2 linked regions of the Anolis sagrei genome follow. The protein of the gene in region 2 interacts with the protein of the main gene of each other region in a biochemical or structural test. Links are inferred from orthologs where the notes say so. Each region holds a gene or a part of one and is shown on either strand. Other genes may lie near its edges.

What was found. The genes of interacting proteins can lie anywhere in the genome.
Region 1: the proteins of ABI1 (region 2) and ENAH form a complex in vitro, tested with the Homo sapiens proteins (2 studies listed by BioGRID). The link is inferred for Anolis sagrei from reciprocal best matches to the Homo sapiens genes ABI1 and ENAH.

Annotation. Positions count from the first base shown.
Region 1 is NC_090021.1:39,443,105-39,453,574, reverse strand, and holds the start of ENAH (protein enabled homolog), read left to right. Parts: upstream 1-6,319; 5' UTR 6,320-6,766; coding exon 6,767-6,771; intron 6,772-10,470. UniProt on the Homo sapiens protein: Ena/VASP proteins are actin-associated proteins involved in a range of processes dependent on cytoskeleton remodeling and cell polarity such as axon guidance and lamellipodial and filopodial dynamics in migrating cells.
Region 2 is NC_090026.1:110,124,838-110,134,549, forward strand, and holds the start of ABI1 (abl interactor 1), read right to left. Parts: upstream 4,129-9,712; 5' UTR 3,893-4,128; coding exon 3,776-3,892; intron 1-3,775. UniProt on the Homo sapiens protein: May act in negative regulation of cell growth and transformation by interacting with nonreceptor tyrosine kinases ABL1 and/or ABL2. May play a role in regulation of EGF-induced Erk pathway activation. Involved in cytoskeletal reorganization and EGFR signaling.

The DNA of each region.
Region 1 (10,470 bases), on a different chromosome or scaffold from region 2:
ATGATTATAGATTGATATAGATATTATGATCTATGTCATGAATTGCTGTGGGTGGAAAAAATCACCTACCTCACTTAGGATTACCTTGCCGTACACTAGCTTTGCTTTTAAAAGAAGTCTTAACATTTTGTATTTCGTAAGCTGGTAGAACGCTTTTGAAATCAAGGGAGCTTTGTTGACTTACATCAAGAATGGTCCTGACCTCTTTGAACACTGAGTACTTGGCATAAAAGAGTGTTTCTATACAAAGAAAAGAATTTCCTTCCTTGGAGCAGTTCTCCCTTGAGTGGAACATTAGATCTCATGCTTGCTGTTATGAAGCCTTTAAAATGGTTTCATATCATATCTATCGATGGCTATATGTATGAACTTGGAAGAAACAATTCAGCAAAAAATAAAGTGCAGTAGCAATACAAAAGTCGTCAGCAAATCTCTTTGAAGCCCAGCCACAATCGCTTCTTGCTTCTTGGGAAAAGAAAAGGGCCTGAAGCTGTTAGGAATTGTGGGAGTTGAAATCCAAAACATCTGGAGGGCCAAAGTTTGCCCATGCCTGCTCTATGCCAATCTTCAAACAAGATTCACACTTTTCCAGTCCACATTCTGCCTACATTTATATAGCTGTCCTCATGTGCACCTTCTTGGGAGCTCTTTGTTGAATCCTATTTCAAACAGGACAATGAGTTTGGGCAGTAAGATAATATAGACAAGTATGAAGTATGGCTCCATTAAGTTCAAGAGGTCATACTTTCATGTGAGTGTGTGCAAAGATGCATCTAAACCAGTGGTTCTCAACCTTCCTAATGCCGTGACCCCTTAATACAGTCCCTCATGTTGTGGTGACCCCCAAACATAACATTGTATTTGTTGCTACTTCATAACATTCATTTTACTACTGTTATAAATCATAATGTAAATATCAGATATGCAAGATGTATTTTCATTCATTGGACCAAACTGGGCACAAATACCCAGTGCACCCACATGTAAATGCTAGTGGGGTTGGGGGAGGATTTATTTTGTAATTTGGGAGTTGTAGTTGCTGGGATTTATAGTTCACCTACAATCAAAGAGCATTCTGAACTCCACCAGCGATGGATTTGAACCTAATTTGCCACACAGAACTCCTATGACCAACAGAAAACACTGGAAGGGTTTGGTGGGTATTGACCTTGAGTTTGGGAGTTGTAGTTCACCTATATCCAGAGAGCACTGTGGACTCACGCAATGGTGGATCTGGACTAAACTTGGCACATATACTCAATATGCACAAATTTGTGAACACTGGTGGAGCCTGGGGAAAATATACCTTGACTTTTGGGAGTTGTAGTTGCTGGGATTTATAGTTCATTACAATCAAAGAACATTCTGAACTCCACCAATGATAGAATTGGCTCAAACTTCCCACATGGAATCCCAATGACCATCAGAAAATAGTGTTTTCTGATGGTCTTTGGCGACCCCTCTGACACCCCTTCGCGACCCCCTTAGGGGTCCCGACCCCCAGGTTGAGAAACACTGATCTAAACTGTACTATTAATGCAGTTTGGAAAATGGAAATCTCCAGAACCTTTTGGAGATTTAATGTCCTTAGGGATGACCTTAGAAGTCACAACTTTTTGAAAATTGATGCCATAACATCTTGATAAAAACATGCCCTGTTACTCATAAACAGAGGAATTCCAGATAAGAAACAATCAGGGACTGCTAATCATCTCTCAACAAAGGATTCCCCCAGGCAATAAGCAGCCAGACCTTGAAACTGCTAGGTCATTAAATGCTAATCAAGGTGGCCAATTGAAACATTCACACCTACCTCCAACAGACAAGAGTTTTTTCTCCCACCCTCGAGTGGCTCTGGGCCCAGACAAATGCACCTATTTTACCTGTCTGACCTCCTCCTCTGCCTCTCAGATCTCGCTCCTGTAGACTGCAGTGAACCGGTGCAAGTGCACATGTGCAAGATCTGAGAGGCAAAGAAGGAGGTACAGTAATAGGAAAATTACCATATTGAAATCAAATCTGATGCTTTTACATTTTTATTTGGTGTGCGTTGGAAGAGGGGTAGTCTTATATGGCGAATATATCCCAAACTCTATATTTTAACTGGAAAAGTTGGGGGTCGTCTTATTTATTTATTTATTTATTTATTAGATGCACTTATTGACCGCCATTCTCAGCCCTTACGGGCGACTCATGGCGGTGTACAGTACACATAAAAAGACAGTTACAGAGGCCAGTATCAACAACATATGACTATACAACAAATACAAACTACATAAAAATCCGCTTCGTCTCTTAGTAGAATCATAGCCAGTCTCATTTTCCTTGTACCATTCCAGTTCTCATTACCGTAATGTTGTTGCTTAGCACTTAATTAAATGCCCTCTCGAACAGCCAGGTCTTAAGGCTTTTTCGAAAGGACATGAGGGAGGGCGCCTGTCTAATGTGTGCCGGGAGAGTGTTCCACAGCCGGGGGGCCACCACCGAGAAGGCCCTCTCCCTCGTCCCCGCCAGCCGTGCCTGTGATGCAGGCGGGATCGAGAGAAGGGCCTCCCCAGACGATCTCAAGGTCCTCGTGGGCTCGTAGGCCAAGATGCGGTCAGAAAGGTATTTTGGGCCGGAACTGTTTAGGGCTTTGTAGGCCAAGACCAGCACCTTGAATTGGGTCCGGTAGCAAATCGGCAGCCAGTGGAGCTGGGACAACAAGGGCGTTGTGTGCTCCCTGCTACCCGCTCCAGTTAGTAACATGGCTGCCGCACGCTGGACCAGCTGAAGCTTCCGGGCCGTCTTCAAGGGCAGCCCCACGTAGAGAGCGTTGCAGTAATCCAGGCGGGATGTGACAAGAGCGTGTACCACCGTGGCCAAGTCAGACTTCCCGAGATACACCCAGTCGTCTTATATGCCGCAATATATGGTAGTTTCTCTGTGTAGGTAACACCGGGCATCATTCTTATAAAGTCTATACCGCGCTCTGTTCCTGCTGACTTCTAAAACATACATCTATTTCTACTGAAGTCTCTAAGTATACATTTCCTGCACTGAAGTCTGAATCACACTTTTCTACTAAAGTCTAAACTGAACAGTGTCCTAAAAGAGAGTCTGAGCCCTGAACAAGCCCAGACCTGATCACGTGGTCTGCCGCCCCTCCCATAACAATGAGTTAAGGTCAAAGTGCATACCAATATGCACATATACAAGACAGTAATCAATCTGAATTATATACATAACAAATCACTAGGGGAGGCTTGAGAAAGTTGCTATTTCCAACAATAACTGCCATGGATCAATGCTATGGAATCATGAGAGCTGTAGTTTGGTGCAGCACTCTTTGCAACCTTGCAAAACTACAACTCCTATGATTCTGTAGTATTGAAGTGATATCAAACTGTATTAAGTATGCAGTGTAGAAGATGCACCCCAGGTACATATATATATAATAAGCCCTATAGGTGTTCCTGAGAGTTCCTGTTAAATGTTTTTCATTACTGAGCAAATGTGGCATGTTTATTCTAAACACGGGGATAGAAGTGTATTTTTCCCCACATAGTTTATCGTGTCATTCTCAACAAACTGTGATAGAGAAGTTAAGCCAAGCCTAGTGGAGTTGAAACAAGAATCCTATTTGCCATGATGTGGTGTTAACTGGATAGACGTAGGTGCGGAAAATATTCCTGCAACTAAATGCAAGGGGAGAATGCTAAGAATTCGTTCAGAAAGTGCTAACGCAGATCGAATTCCAAGGTGCAAGGCAAGCAGAAAAAACAATCGGAACAGCTAATAATAAGGAATTCAAGGCAACTCTGCTGTAGGGAGAACTGAATAGTAACAAGAAGCTTCAGCGGTAATATATGCAGTGCACGTGACCTTGGTAACCCTCACAGCCAGCAGCTCTTAAACTCAGCCTTGCATGCAGATAGCTACCCTGTATCGCATGTAATAACTGCCTGCGTGTGTGCAACCTATTTCCATAGTTATAAACTGGACACATGTTTTACTCAGAATTTTTTTTTTGGTCGTGTCAGGAGTGACTCCTGGTGTGAGAGAATAGGCCGTCTGCAAGGACATTGTCCAGGGGATGCCTTGATGATTTGATGTTGTTATCATCCTTGTGGGAGGCTTCTCTCATGTCCCCGCATGAGGAGCTGGAGCTAATAGAGGGAGCTCATCCGCCTCTCCCCGGATTCGAACCTGCGACCTGTTGGTCTTCAGTCCAGCCAGCACAGGGGTTTAACCCACTGCGCCACTAGGGGCTTACTCAGAATAAGAACTTCTGTATGGGTTTTAGTCTGCGCTGACAATTATACCTTTGCCTACATACAAAGGTATACAGTCTGTCTACACTGCAGAATGAATGCATATGGCTACCACTCTAAGTGCCATGGCTCAATGCTATGGAATCCTGGGAGTTGTAGTGTGGTGAAACACCAGTGCTCTATGGTTGAGAATGCTACAGACTTTGTAAAACTACATCTCCCAGGATTCAATAGCATGGAGCCATGGCAGTTAAAGTTATGTCATGCTGCATTCATCTACAATTAAAAAATCATAACAATAAATGAAGAACAATATTTTTAAAAAAACTATTTACTTTGTTTTTGACATTGTTTCTTAATGCCTTCTTATTTTGACGTTTGTACATATTTTGGTGCTGGTCATTGATTGTAAATGTGTGTGTGTGTGTGTGTGAAATGTCCAGGGTGGGAGAAAGCCTCTTGTCTGTTTGAGGTAGGTGTAAATGTAGCAATTGGCCACCTTGATTGGCATTTAATGGCCTAGCAATTTTCAAGGTCTGGAGCTTCTTACTGCCTGGGGGAATCCTTTGTTGAGAGGTGATTAGCTGCCCCTGATTGTTTCTTGTCTGGAGTTCCCATTTTTCAAAATGTTGTTCTTTATTTATTGTCATGCTACAACATAGATTCACCCAGGAGGGAAGCAGTTGCTATGCCTAGAGGCGCAAGGAGGTCCTCAATAATAATAATAATAATAATAATAATAATAATAATACACTTTATTTATATTCCCCTTTATCTCCCTGGACGGACTCAGAGCGGATTACAATACACATATGAAGCAAACATTCAATGCCTTTTACACACAGTGAACAACAGCATACAACACAGACAAAGGTAAAGGCCTTCCCCTTTTTTTCATATCCGGTGTCTAGAGGCGATGCTCAACTCCAGCCATGGGGAGGTGCTCTTGCTCCATTCTCCCATGCCAAGGAGCCTGTTGTCCATAGACATCTCCGATTGTGTTGCCAGCATGTCTGCATGGGGCGCCCTTTTACCTTCCTGCCAAGGTGGTAACTATTGATCTACTTGCATTTCATGCTTTAAAATTGTTAGGTTGGCAGAAGCTAGGGCTGGCAGTTGGGAGCTCACCCCAACTTGTGGCTTTGAAGTTTCAACCTTCTGGTTAGATTTCCTGCAGCTAGCAGTTTAACCTGCTTGTGCTACTGCAGGTAGCACAGCGGGTTAAATTGTACCAATCAATCAATTGTAATTTTACAAGGTTTTAGTCTTCTCCCGGGAAGAGTACCAAGGCCAAGATGGATGGATGGCATCCTTGAAGTGACTGGACTGACCTTGAAGGAGCTGGGGGTGGTGACGGCCAACAGGGAGCTCTGGCGTGGGCTGGTCCATGAGGTCACGGAAAGTCGGAGACGACTGAACGAATGAACAACAACAACAATAGACTAATACAAAATATTTTGAAAGATTATAGAAGTGTTTTTTAAAAATAAATATATTATACATATATGGCTGGAGTTACACTTAAAAATGTACCTGTTCCGACTTACACACAAATCCAACCCACAGAACCTATCTGGTTCGTAACTTGGGGACTGGCTGTAGTTTTGAAAGAATTTGGCCTCCTTTTCCAAAGAGTGCCGGTGTGCCTCCTCACACCGCAGCTGCGATGGACTCCACGGCAGATGGAGCAGTGCCAAGGCTGCGTGCACACTCCACGGTGCAGATGCGCTCAGTCAGGAGGGACGTGAGCAGCACGGTGTACCTACTGACCGACCCGCGGCTAGGTAAGTAGTGCGCAAAAAAAAAGGGAAGCGATACGGAGAGCGGCCGGCAGGGGGGGCGCGAGAGAGCGTGCTCATCGCGGTGGCAACGCCGGGCGGAGGAGCCTGCTTGCCTCCCGCGCGGATTGGGCGAGCCCACCTCTGGGCGCCCCCTCCCCCCCTTTTGAGATCCCGCATGGAATGCACGGAGAATGCAGAGCAGGTCCAATAGGCGCGGCTTGCCCCTGGCCCCGCCCCCTCGGCGCGCCTGCTCCGGAGGCCTGGCCCCTCCCTCGCCTTGCAGCCCCCTCCCCTCCCCCTGAGAAGCCGGTCTCTCCGCCGCCTGCCTTGCTCCCTTCCTTCCTTCCTTTCTTTCTCCTCTCCCCTTCCTCTCCCCTCCCCTCCCCGAAAGCCGGGGTTCTCCCGCGTAATCCTCGCGGCGCCTCGAGGGTCGCCTCTCTCTCCCCCTCCCTCCCTCCGCGCTCTTCTTTCCTTTCTTCCCTCCCTCCCTCCTTCCTTTCGGACTCCCCGCTGTGGCCGGCGGAGGGAGGGTTGCCAAGGCAGGGACTGGCTGGCGCCTGAGCAGAAAGAGAGAGAGAGAGAGAGAAAGGAAGGAGAGAGAGAGGGACCCTTGCCTCCGCTCCTTTTCCTCCTTTGGCCTCCCGCTCCCATTGAGAAGAGGAAGAGGAAGGAAGACAGGCAGGAGCTGGGCCTGGGGGGAAGGCGCCCCCCGCCCGGACCTTGGGCAGCAACATGAGGTAAGACAGAGGAAGGAGGAGGGGGAGGAGGAGGAGGAAGGGGCTCCTTGACTTGATCAATAGGAGGGAAGCCATTATGGAGGAGGAGAAGGGGGGGGGAGGGAGGCACCGTGTGTGTTTAATGGGGGGCTGGTCCTAACTGGGGAGAGGGAAGGGGTTCTTGTGGGAGAGGATTGGACTAGGAAACCCAAGGAAGTATTCAGTAGGGGGTTTGATAGGAATATGGGGGCCTCTGGTCTGGGAAACCCCAATAAGGTGTTCAATACGGGGTTTAATAGGAACATGGGGGCCTCTGGACTGGGGAAACCCAGAGATACACAATAGGGGGTTAATAGGAATAAGGACTCTGGAGTGGGAAAACCCAAAGAGGTATTCAATAGGGGGTTTGATAGGGATATGGGGGCCTCTGGTCTGGGAAACCCCAATAAGGTGTTCAATAGGGGGTTTAATAGGAACATGGGGCCTCTAGTGGGAAACCCCAATAAGGTGTTCAATAGGGGATATAATAGGAATATGGGGCCTCTGATCTGGGAAACCCCAATAAGGTGTTCAATAGGGGGTTTGAATAGGGATATGGGGGCTCTGGACTGGGAAAACCCAATGAGGTATTCAATAGGGGGGTTGATAGGGACATGGGGGCCTCTGGGCTGGGGAAACCTAGAAGTATACAATAGGGGGTTAATAGGAATTAGGGGGCCTCTGGATTGGGAAACTCCAATGAGATATTAAATAGAGGGTTTAATAGCAACATGGGGCCTTTGGACTGGGAAACCCAATAAGGTGTTCAAAAGAGGGTTTAATAGGGCTATGGGGGGCTCTGCACTGGGAAAACCCAGAGATATACAATAGGGGTTAATAGGAATAAGGGGGCCTCTGGATTGGGAAACTCCAATGAGGTAGTCAATAAGGGGTTTAATAGGGATATGGGGGTATCTGGACTAGGAAAACCCAATGAGGTATTCCATTGGGGGTTGACTAAGAATATGGACTGGGAAACTCCAATGAGATATTCAATAGGGACTTGAACAGGAATATGGGGCCTCTGGACTGGGAACCCCCAATGAGGTATTCAGTGAGGGGTTTAATAGGGAAGTGGGGGCTTCTGGACTGGGAAACGCCATTTCGGGGAGGGCTTAATGGGGGTCTGGGCTGTGTTTGGAAGCAAAGGGGTGCAAGGAGCAGAAAGGGGAGCCCTTTCGCGCAGTCCGGCCATTCAATTCATCCCCCATCGACTGAATTGCGTTGTATCCCCATTCCTGTTATTGTCGGGTCTTCCTCCTCCTCCTCCTCCTCCTCTTTCCCATTGTTCCTTTGCATGGAAAGTGGGGGAAGTTCTTGTGTGTGTTTTGCCGGTCGAGGCAGAGCAGGCGACGACTGCTGTGTTCGTGGGGGATCATCATGGCTCATCTCTCTGGCTTTTTTGCGGGGCTTTTGTTGCAAGCCAGGGCTGGAAGGAGGAGAGGGTTGGCTGGTTGGTGCGCAGGAGGGAGGGAGGGAGGGAGGAAGGAAGGAAGGAAGGAAAGAGGGAGAGCCATTCATTTATTAACGGGAGGGGGATTCGGCATGGATGCGTTTTGCTTTGGGCGGGGGGCGAGGAGGAGGAGGAGGGCCAGGCTGCTTCTTCCAGCGTCCTTTTAGGATTCGCTTTGGGAAACCAGACTCGGAATCACCTCGTAGAGTTGCCGAATTCAAGGTGGAGACGAGGAAAAAGCCGTGTGTTGCAATGCAGCAGTCCCTGCTGGGTTTTGTCTTTTGTGTAATCGATAAATAGGAGGAATTGGGGGGGGGGGGGGAGAGAGAGAGAGAGAGAGAGAGAAAGCGCTCACACAATGCTTTGGGAATCTCGAATATTTGTATTTAGGTTTTGTTTTGGTCTCCCTATCGAAGGAGGCATGCCTGTCCTCCTTCTCCCTGCATGAACCCTGGAGAAGAAAAGGGTTCATTTCCCCTGGAAACACTCGCGAAGGAGGGGGGGGGGAGAGGGAGGAGGCTCCTCTGTTTTGCATTCTGCAACTACTCCTCTGCTTTGATGCAACACTTAAAATTGAGGCTCAGGAGGTTGTTTTGCATTAGGATCCAGGGAAAGCTATTCCTTCTGCCAGAGTTAAACTAGACCTTCTCCCAGGCACTTCATTTGGATTTCCTTTGCAGCACTTGCAGTTGCAAAGTCCATGTAAGATTCATAGTGAGATGGTCTGCCATTCCTGTTTTGTTTTTTTTTTTGGAGAGAGAGACAAAAATCAAGCAGCCTGACTGCACCAAGAAAATAAGTGCATAGAATCATAGAGTTGGAAGAGACCTCATGGGCCATCCAGTCCAACCCCCTGCCAAGAAGCAGGAAAATTGCATTCAAAGCACCCCCAAAAGATGGCCACCCAGCCTCTGTTTAAAAGCTTCCAAAGAAGCAGCCTCCACCACACTCTGCAACAGAGAGTTCCACTGCTGAATGGCTCTCGCAGTCAGGAAGTTCTTCCTCATGTTCAGATGGAATCTCCTTTCTTGTAGTTTGAAGCCATTGTTCCGTGTCCTAGACTCCAGGGCAGCAGAAAACAAGCTTGCTCCCTCCTCGCTGTGACTTTCTCTCACATATTTTTACATGGCTGCCATGTCTCCTCAGCCTTCTCTTCTTCAGTCTAAACATGTCCAGCTCTTTAAGCCGCTCCTCATAGGGCTTGTTCTCCAGACCCTTGATCATTTTAGTCTCTTTTCTCTGGACACATTCCAGCCTGTCAACATCTCTATTAAACATGCTGTATTAAACTTTTTAAAGTGATTTTTTTAAAGTCTCAGGCTATGCGTTCTTAGAAGCTTTGAACACCTATGAAATGCTCCGCTACTTTATTTGCTCTTTAAATAAATGTATGGTTCTTTACATACACATCTCTTGTATGTGTGTAGGGCAGGCATTGGGAAACTTCAGCCCTCCAGGTATTTTGGACTTAATAATACAACTTTATTCCCTGCCATCATCTCCCAGAGGGACTCATGGCGCCCTACAAGTCACTCAAAGGTGCAGCACATAAAATTAAAAAAAATGCAGAAACAATAATATAAAACAGTAACAGCCAACATAAATATCTTCGTTCATAAAACCCCTTGGTTAAAATCAATAAAATACAGCAATAGCTGCGTATATAAAACAACAATAGTCTATCTTAGTCATATACAGTGCTTAGTAATATCTGTGGGTTCTCACATATTTATTAAAGGCATCTAACTCTGGTCGAAGGCTTGTTGAAACATCCATGTCCTAGGCTTTTAGGAATTGTGGGAGTTGAAGTCCAAAACACCTGGAGGACCGAAGTTTGCCCAGGGAGAAGTGGCAAATAGATTTCCCAAGTCCTTAGAAAACACAGAGTAGTGGAAAATGTACTTTCTAACTCAGATTGAACTGATGTTTCATGCTTTTGGTATCATCCAATCACTCTCTGTCTATACCTGGGATTACATTGTTGCCAGAACACATAGAAATATTCTTATGTTTATTTATGCCCCTTGTTTTTTCTCCATAAAGGAGACTCAAAGCCGTTTCGGAGTATTCTGAAATTTGTCAAATTGTTTTCTAATCTTGGGTGGTGGTATGCCCCTATGCTTCAAAATTGTTTTTAGGAACTACAGCAGGCATGGGCAAACTTGGGCCGCCCTCCAGGTGTTTTGGACTTCAACTCCCACCATTCCTAACAGCCTCAGGTCCTTTCT
Region 2 (9,712 bases):
CTTCAATCAAGAAATAGTTTTTTAAGATCTGCAGAGATACTTTCAGGAACACCTCAGCAAGCAAGAGTCCAAAAGTGGCAGGCTAAAACCCGGAACCTCAAGCCATGGCTGTATCAAATGAGAGATTCCCTTTCCTGGGTACATAGGAGACTCTGCGAATTAGAAGGCGCTGAACAGACTGCACTCTGGCACCACGAGGTGCAGAGCCAACCTTAAGAAATGGGGCCACAAAGTGGAGTCCATGACATTTGAGTGTGGAGAAGAACAAACCACATACCACCTATTACAGTGCAGTCTGAGCCCTGCCACATGCTTCTTATAGCAACACCAGAGGCACTCCAAGTGGCATTTGATAATGCCAAGTTTTAAAACTTTGTGTTTTTTAAATACATTACAACTGTACTCTCGGTTTGCTTCTGATACGGTAAATAAATGGACAGGCATGAGCAAACTTCGGCCCTCCCGGTGTTTTGGACTTCAACTCCCAAAACTCCCAGCCATCTTACCGGCTGTTAGGAATTGTGAGTTAAAGTCCAAAACACCTGGAGGGTCAAAATTTACCCATGCCTGGTGTAGATGCACCTTCTGAGACATTGTGCTGCTTACCCCCTCTCTTTTTCTTCATCTTTATTTCTCTTTCCTACCCCCTTATTCTCTCTCCCTGGTTTGCCCTCCTCTCTTACCTCTTTGAACCAAATTTGGCTTCTTCTCCCCCCCCCCCCCCAAAAAAACCCCAACCATCTTCAGCACTCTTCCAAGTGTACATCTGCATCAGGCATGGGCAAACTTGGGCCCTCCAGGTTTGCCCGGGCCTGATCTACACTTTAGACCAATGGTTCTCAACCTGTAGAGCAGTGGTTCTCAACCTGTGGTTCCCCAGATGTTTTGGCCTTCAATTCCCAGAAATCCTAACAGCTGGAAAACTGGCTGGGATTTCTGGGAGTTGTAGACCAAAACACCTGGAGACCCACAGGTTGAGAACCACTGCTGTCGACTTATTATAGTTTGACACCACTTGGACTGCCATAATAGTAATAATAAAACTTTATTTATAACCCGCCCTATCTCCCCGAGGGGACTCAGGGCGGTTTCCAAACAAAAAAATGGCAAGCATTCAATGCCATAATGAAAACAAAACCAAATTGAACCAATGAATGAAACAACATCAATATAAACTTATAAGCTTACTAATTGGAGCTAGCTATAGGGAACATACCCAAGCAGCTCCTCTGGATTCCGACAATTTTCTGGGCTCATTTCAAGATGCAAGTTATTACCTACAAAGCCACATATGCTTTGGGTCCTTCATCTCTTTCTGTGAACCAGCGTGGGCTTTGAGATCAGCAAGGGAGGCCCTTTTCTCGGTTCCACTACTGTCTCAAGCATTTTCTTTGTCATGTCAGGAGCGACTTGAGAAACTGCAAGTTGCTTCTGGTGTGAGAGAATTGGCCGTCTGCAAGGACGTTGCCCAGGGGATGCCTGGATGATTTGATGTTTTTGTCATCCTTGTGGGAGGCTTCTCTCATGTCCCCGCATGAGGAGCTGGAGCTGATAGAGGGAGCTCATCCGCCTCTCTCCAGATTCGAACCTGTGACCTGCAGGTCTTCAGTCCTTCCGGCACAGGGGTTTAACCCACTGCGCCACCGGGGACTCCGTCTCAAGCATGGTTGGTGGGGATGAGAGAGAGGACCTTCTCAGTAGTGGCTCCCTGGCTCTGGAATACCCTCTCAAAAGATATTAGGTTAGCCCCCACCCTTGACTCTTTCCGATCCAGCCTAAAAACATTGATTTTTAAGCAGGCTTTTGGCCTTGAGTAGGCTGAAATGGGCCCATATGAGGTTGACACTTTGGCACTGTAATTGTGATTTGAAGGCTGCTAGTTTTAACTACAAATGTTCTGCATTTTAAACTGTGTTATATTTTATTTTATGTGTTAATAGTGGTTGTTATTATAATTGTTGTGCTATATTGTTTTTATACCCATGTACCTTTTATATAATATACTACATTTGTAGTGCCTTGTTTCTCAAGTCACTCCTGACACGACAAAAAAAAGTGCCTTGTAAACTGCCCTCGTTCCGTTTTGGGAGATGGTGTTGGGATAAATAAAGATTATCATTATCATTATTATTACTAACCAAAAGTAAGTAAATTAAAACAACGTAATTACTTTAAAAGCATAATAAAACTGCCATGGCTCAGTGCTATTGAATTCTATGAATTGTAGATTTACAAGGTCCTTAGTCTTCCCTGCCAAAGAATTCTATAGCCTCACCAGATGACAACACACACAATTCCATAGCGTTGAGCCATAGCAGTTCAAGTGGTGTGGAACCCCAGTACTTCTACCATGTAGGCTGCACCCCTGGTCTGGTCCACCTTAGGGTGCATCTATACCAGGCATGGAATATTGTGTCCAATTCTGGGCACGACAATTCAAGAGAGATATTGACAAGCTGGAATGTGTCCAGAGGAGAGCGACTAAAATGATCAAGAGTCTGGAGAACAAGCATGTTTAACCTGAAGAAGAGAAGGCTGAGAGGAGATATGATAGACATGTATAAATATGTGAGAGGAAGCCACAGGGAGGACGGAGCAAGCTTGTTTTCTGCTTCCTTGGAGACTAGGACACGGAACAATGGCTTCAAATTACAAGAGAGGAGATTCCATCTGAACACGAGGAAGAACTTTCTGACTGTGAGAGCCATTCAGCAGTGGAACTCTCTGCCCCGGAGTGTGGTGGAGGCTCCTTCTTTGGAAGCTTTTAAACAGAGGCTGGAGGGCCATCTGTCAGGGGTGATTTGAACGCAATATTCCTGCTTCTTGGCAGAATGGGGTTGGACTGGATGGCCCATGAGGTCTCTTCCAACTCTTTGATTCTATGATTCTATGGGCAAACTTTGGCCCTCCAGGTGTTTTGAACTTCAACTCCCACAATTCCTAACAGCCGGTGGGCATTGCAGTCCAACACTAGGATTCCTGGGAACTGAAGTCCAAGACACCTGGAGGGCTGAAGTGTGCCCATGCCTGATTTACACTGTCCATTTATTTATCGTATCAGAAGCAAACTGAGGATACAACTGTAATGTATTTAAAAAACGCATCCCTTGGGTGACGTCTTTGTAGACGGCTGATTGTCTAACACCAGAAGCGACTTGCAGCATAGAATCATAGAATCAAAGAGTTGGAAGAGACCTCATGGGCCATCCAGTCCAACTCCATTCTGCCAAGAAGCAGGAATATTGCATTCAAATCACCTCTGACAGATGGCCATCCAGCCTCTGCTTAAAAGCTTCCAAAGAAGGAGCCTCCACCACACTCCGGGGCAGAGAGTTCCACTGCTGAACGGATCTCACAGTCTGCAAATTCTTCCTCATGCAACCAAACAAACAAAAACACTGTCCAGCAAACACAGTTTGACACCACTGTGGTTGTTGAGGCTCAAGGCTATGGAAACCTGAGAGTGGTAGTTCCATAAAAGTCTGTCCACTACAACTCCTAGCATTGAATCCTGACAACTCAAAGTGGGGTCACAATGCACCCATTGGAAGTGGGCAAGGGCTCTTGCAAAGGGAGGAAGGCCTGGCTGGCCTTCCTCCCTTTGCAAGAGCCCTTGCCCACTTCCTGTAAGGCGAGTGGCTCCTTCCCCCCTTCTTCCTCCTCCTGCCATGGAGGCGAGCAAGAAGGAAGGAAGGAAATGAAGGCAGGCGTGGGTCTTGGCCCCTTCCAAGGCGAGCCTGCCTCCCTCCCTCCCTCCTTGGCTCTCCCTTCTTACCTGGATGTAGTTGTTTTCGCAGTAGTCGGCGACCCTGGTGAGGTTCTGGTAGCTCTCGAGCAAAGCCCGCTTCCCAGAAGGGATTTCCTCCTCTAGTAACATCTGCAGCTCTGCCATTTTCCTCCCCTCCGCATCGCTCCCTTCTCCCTTCCAGAGACAGGCGCCCAGACCCCAGACCCCGCTCTCTCGCTGCCTTCTCGGTTATGGCGAGGGGGGAGATGCCGCCTGAGCCTCAAGAGAAGGAGAGAGAGAGAGGAAGAAGGAAGGAAGGAAGGAGAACAGAGGCGTCGCTTTCCCCACCCACACTCCCTCCTCGCCTTGGGCTTTTTTTTTTCCTTCCTTTCCTCCTCCTTCTCTTCCTCCCCCTCCTCCTTCACAGGAAAAGGCGCTCGCAAGGCACGCTGGGAGGTGTAGTTCACAAGGCTTCCTTCCTGGCCAGAAAGTGCTTCTCTGTTGCTGTCCATCCCTTGGGTTCAGCTGCACTGGTTCTAGGAGGGGAAAAGTTGTCCTGTCAATAGGAACCTGGGAGTATCAACACTGGCATATCATGCAATTTGAAAGTGGACTATATGGTCAGTGTAGCCCAGTACAGCAAGGCAGGGTACCCTCACCCAGGCCTGTAGCGAGGGGGTGGTTTTAGGGGTTCAATCCCCCCCCGAAATGTTTCAGATTTTTTTAAAAAACCTGATTTACTCATGAATTTTAATTGGTTAACCAAATCCCCATGCTAAGTCTATGAGATGCAAAAAATTAAGAGTCCCTCCAGAATTGTAAGCACTATCTCAAGCAAATATTGACAATTTACTCACACTGTCATTACTTGCAGCAATACCTGATGTAGTGAAGCAACCAAGTTGGGGGTTTATGTGTTGAATGCTCTCATTAAGAAGGCCAGATTTGGTGGAGTTGGTTGACAGGGGTGGAGCTGCAGGCTATTGAAGGTTGCTCTGCCCCCTGCTGTACTCTTTGCTTCAGCGTGAGCTAGGAGGCAGGTTTCACCCCTCCCCCCTGCCAAAATTTTCAACCCTCCCCGAAATTTTCAACCCCCCCTCCCCCGAAATTGTCAACCCTCCCCGAAATTTTTTTCTGGCTACGGCCCTGCCCTCACCCAACCTATTCTGCTTGTATGCAGAAGACATCATGCGACGTGCGGGACTTGATGAATCCAAGGCTGGAGTTAACATTGCTGGACGAAACATTAGCAACCTTAGATATGCAGATGATACAGTAGAGTCTCACTTGTTGTTGTTCATTCGTTCAGTCATCTCCGACTCTTCGTGACCTCACGGACCAGTCCACGCCAGAGCTCCCTGTCGGCCGTCACCACCCCCAGCTCCTTCAAGGTCAGTCCAGTCACTTCAAGGATGCCATCCATCCATCTTGCCCTTGGTCGGCCCCTCTTCCTTTTGCCTTCCACTTTCCCCAGCATAATTGTCTTCTCTAGGCTTTGCTGTCTCCTCATTGTTGCTACTAAGAGGTTGTAACGTACTTTATCTAAGTTGTTGTAAGGATCAATGTTGTTTGTGCTATAACTTTAAGTTGCTGTAAAGTTCAAGGCTGTTTGTGCTACAGCTGTTTGAGTTAATTGAAGAGTTAATTGAGAGTATTATTTTCATGTGTATAAAGATAGCTACTGTGTGTTTAGCTTCTTTGCCATTGTGCATCTATGCCTCTGTGCCATTCTGCCTTGTGTAAGCCAGGGACTATGCTGCAGATGTCCTGCGAAGACACAGCCATGGGAAGAGGACAAGGATTCCTGCTTATCACAGCTGAGTAATGATATCTCTCAGAAGATATTGTTTCATGTTACTTTTGTGGAAACAGCAATCCTGCTATTTTGTTTTGTATGCTGCCAATACTACAATATTTTTCTTTTCTACTCATGTGTTTTTCTTTTAAGAGCCAATTCATCACACACACAGTTAACTGGGCTAGAGTCAATCTGCATGCTACTCATGCTAACGCATGACACTCATGATGTGGCCAAAGTACTTCAACTTTGTCCCTAGTATCCTTCCCTCCAATGAGCAGTCGGGCTTTATTTCCTGGAGGATGGACTGGTTGGATCTTCTCGCAGTCCAAGGCACTCTCAGAACTTTCCTTCAGCACCACAGTTCAAAAGCATCCTATCTTCCTTCGCTCAGCCTTCCCTAAGGTCCAGCTCTCACATCCGTAGGTGACTACAGGGAATACCATGGCTTTGACTAGGCGGATCTTTGTTGCCAGTCTGATGTCTCTACTCTTTACTATTTTATCGAGACTGGACATTGCTCTCCTCCCAAGAAGTAAGCGTCTTCTGATTTCCTGGCCACAGTCTGCATGGTCAGTGTAGCCCAGCACAAAAGCTGGGTTGCAGCTAAACATTAAAAAAAAAAAAACAAGATTATGGCAACAAGAATGATTGACAACTGGAAAATAGAGGGAGAAAATGTGGAGGCTGTGACAGACTTTGTATTTCTAGGTGCAAAGATTACTGTGGCCAGGAAATCAGAAGACCCTTACTTCTTGGGAGGAGAGCAAGGTCCAACCTCAATAAAATAGTAAAGAGTAGAGACATCACACTGGCAACAAAGATCCGCCTAGTCAAAGCCATGGAGACCCATAAGAAAAAGATCTACACCAGTGCAAAAACTAAGATCCAAAGAAGGACAAGAGAACTTAAGAACATCTCATGGACAAAGAAGGCTGAAGAAATCCAACACCTGGCAGATACCCGTGATGCTCAGGGATTTTTCACAGCCACAAAGGTCATCTATGGACCAAGAAACCATGGCATACAGCCTCTACGCTCATCAGATGGAACCAAACTCCTGAAGGACCAAAAATCAATTGCACTACGTTGGAAAGAACACTACCAAAGCCTCCAGAACCGCAGCTCGAATGTGGCCAAAGAGGTTCTCCCACAAATCAGGGATGAGTTTGCAGCACTGCCTAGTTTGGAAGAAGTCAGCAATGTCATCAACCAACAAAAAATAACAAAGCCAGCAGACCTGATGGGATCCCTTCTGAAATCTTTAAAGAGGGAGGACCTGAGCTGAGAGGTTGGATGGCCATCTGTCGGGGTGCTTTGAATGCAATTTTCCTGCTCCTTGGCAGGGGGTTGGACTAGATGGCACACAAGGTCTCTTCCAACTCTATGATTCTATAATTCTATTATTCTACATGCCAAATAAGAATATCAAACTATCCCAAATTGGACTTGTTCCAGAGATCACTCTCTTGAGGACTGAGTGGAAAAATTCCAGATACATCCATTTCTAGTTTGGTTTCAGTCCACAAAAAGATTGCTTGGCCCTAATAGTTAATCCTAGTATGAAGAATAAGGTTGATTGGTTTTATTGTACATGTGTTGTTTGACTGTTTTATGCGTATGTGTTGGTCTGTTTTTGTTTGTTTGTTTTTTGCTTACTCTGTATGGATTTGTGTTTTTACAATTTGGAAACTGCCCTAAGTCCCCCAGGGGAGATAGAGTGGTATATAAATAAAGTTTTATTATTATTAAATATTCCTTTGATTTTGATACAGTTTTTATGCAATCTTACTCATTTCCATGGTATATGTAATGCAGGCAAATACTTTTAGCCCATATATGTTTCTTCGGGAACATGATCTGCTAGTACACCTAAAAATGAAATATGTATCGCATTAATCTTAAATAAAATGCAGTAATTAGATGACAAAAATAGTGCAGATACTGAAGCCGCATTTTTAGTCCTTTCTCCCCCAGAAATGTAAAGGGCAGAATCAATGCTATAATGTTTAAGGTTAGAATACCCACACCGGATGCCAACATTCATAATTTTGTTCATAGAGTTTGCAGTAAAGCATCTCTTTCCTCCTCCAAACACTTATTTATCATGTTACCGGGGCTGTAACCCCATGACTGGCACAAATGCATTTTAGGATGGAAGCCTTGATTCTGAAGCCTTGCCATCTGCTTTGCTTATGGCTTCATGCTGATTGATTTTCATATGGAAAGAACATCAAAGGGATCATGACGGGACATTCCCTTTCAAGGCATTCCCAGAATCCTCAGCTTTTTTTTCTTTCCTGCAGAAGACTCCAGCGAGAATGCCAATTAGGGCCAATGGCAAAGATGGTTATAACATGTGCAAAAGATCACAATGTACTCTCCTGGAGGTTACAGATCTGAAACAAAACTGAATTTCGAATTTCATTGTGTTGGTGGAGAAACATTCATCCACTTTATTGAACTAGTGGAAGATCTATGGATTAAATTGCTGAATTTCGGGTTCTAGTGAGTAGATGGTGAGTTATAACGTTTATCTCTGCATAATGAGAAGCTTATTTGCCAATTCTTCCAAATCACATCACTGTTGAAAGAACTGCTCTTAAAGGTCAACTGAAAAGCCAGCAAAAAGTGCTAATTCTAGCAGGCCTGACCCTTTTATTCAACATTATAGTATATACACTATAGAATTAATGCGGTTCAACTCTACTTTAACAGCCATAGTTTAATTCAATTGAATCATGGGAAATGTAGTTTTACAATGTCTCTTGTTTTCTCTGCCAAATTCCCATGATTGAGCCACGGCAGTTAAAGTGATGTCAACCTGTATTCATTCTACAATCCAGACACATCCAGAATGGACAATCTGCTTTCCATAGCCGATTTTGTGTATCACTTTCATGAAAAAGAAGCAGATTGTTTACTTTTTCTATTTTTATTGCTAGGGATGAGAGCAGACCTTGGAAAAAATCTGTGAACTACACTTCCCAGGTATAACTTGTCTAATTTCTGGCCTTAGATCAGTGGTTCCCAAACCTTTTTTTTAAACCAGGGACTACTTTGACTAGGGACCACTCTTCAACATCAATACCAAAAGGGTTATGAATCAGTTTTTGATCAACTTTAGATTCAGTTTTGGGTGCTGATTTGGAAAATGGCATTGGATAGACCACATCAGTTCTAGTTTCTGATACAGAACATATGCAGTGGTCAGTAAAAGGGAAGGAGTGGCAGCCAATGCAAAAGGAGTAGAAATAAAATAAAATAAAATAAAATAAAATAAAATAAAATAAAGAGAAAGGAGGCTCACAGACCAGATTTTTGTCCTCATGGTCCACAGTGAAGACATCTGCCCTTGAGCTTTGCTACTCTGCTGCTGAATACACATGCCCAGTGTGGAACACATCTCACCATGTTAAAACAGTGGATGTTACTCTTAATGAGACTTGCCACATTATCACAGGATGCCAGGAAGTAGCAGCCAACAATGAAAGGACCAAGGCAGTGACATCTCCGGCCCAACCCCTGTTCGAATATCAGCCAGCCCGCCAGTGCTTTAAATCAAGAAATATTTATTTATTTATTTATTTAGTACACTTGTATACCGCTAATATCTCAGCCTAAGACGGCGACTCATTGCGGTTTACAACATTTAAAAACAACAATATTCCAATTAAAAATATAAAACACATACATATACAATACACAGTATTGGGCCACCAATACAGACCAATGCATCTCTTAAATTAAAATCATAATCCAATTTCGTTGTCTGTGATTGCCAGTCCTTGATCAGAGATTTCATCGCATCGGATTAGCCGAATGCTTGCTCAAACATCCATGTCTTGAGTTTTTTCCGAAATACTAAATGCCATTTGATATAAGATCTACAAATATAAGATCTACAGAGATACTCGCAGGAACACCTCAGCAAGCGGGAGTCCAAAAGTGGCAGGCTAAAACCCAGAACCTCTGATATCAAATGAGAGACTCCCTCCTGGGCACACAGAAGACTGGACAGCTTGGAAGACACTGAACAGACAGTGCTCTGGCACCATGAGATGCCGAGCTAACCTTAAGAAATGGAGCCACAAAGTGGAGTCCATGACATGCGAGTGTAGAGAAGATAAAATCATACACCACCTACTACAATGCAACCTGATCCCTGCCACATTCACAATGGAGGA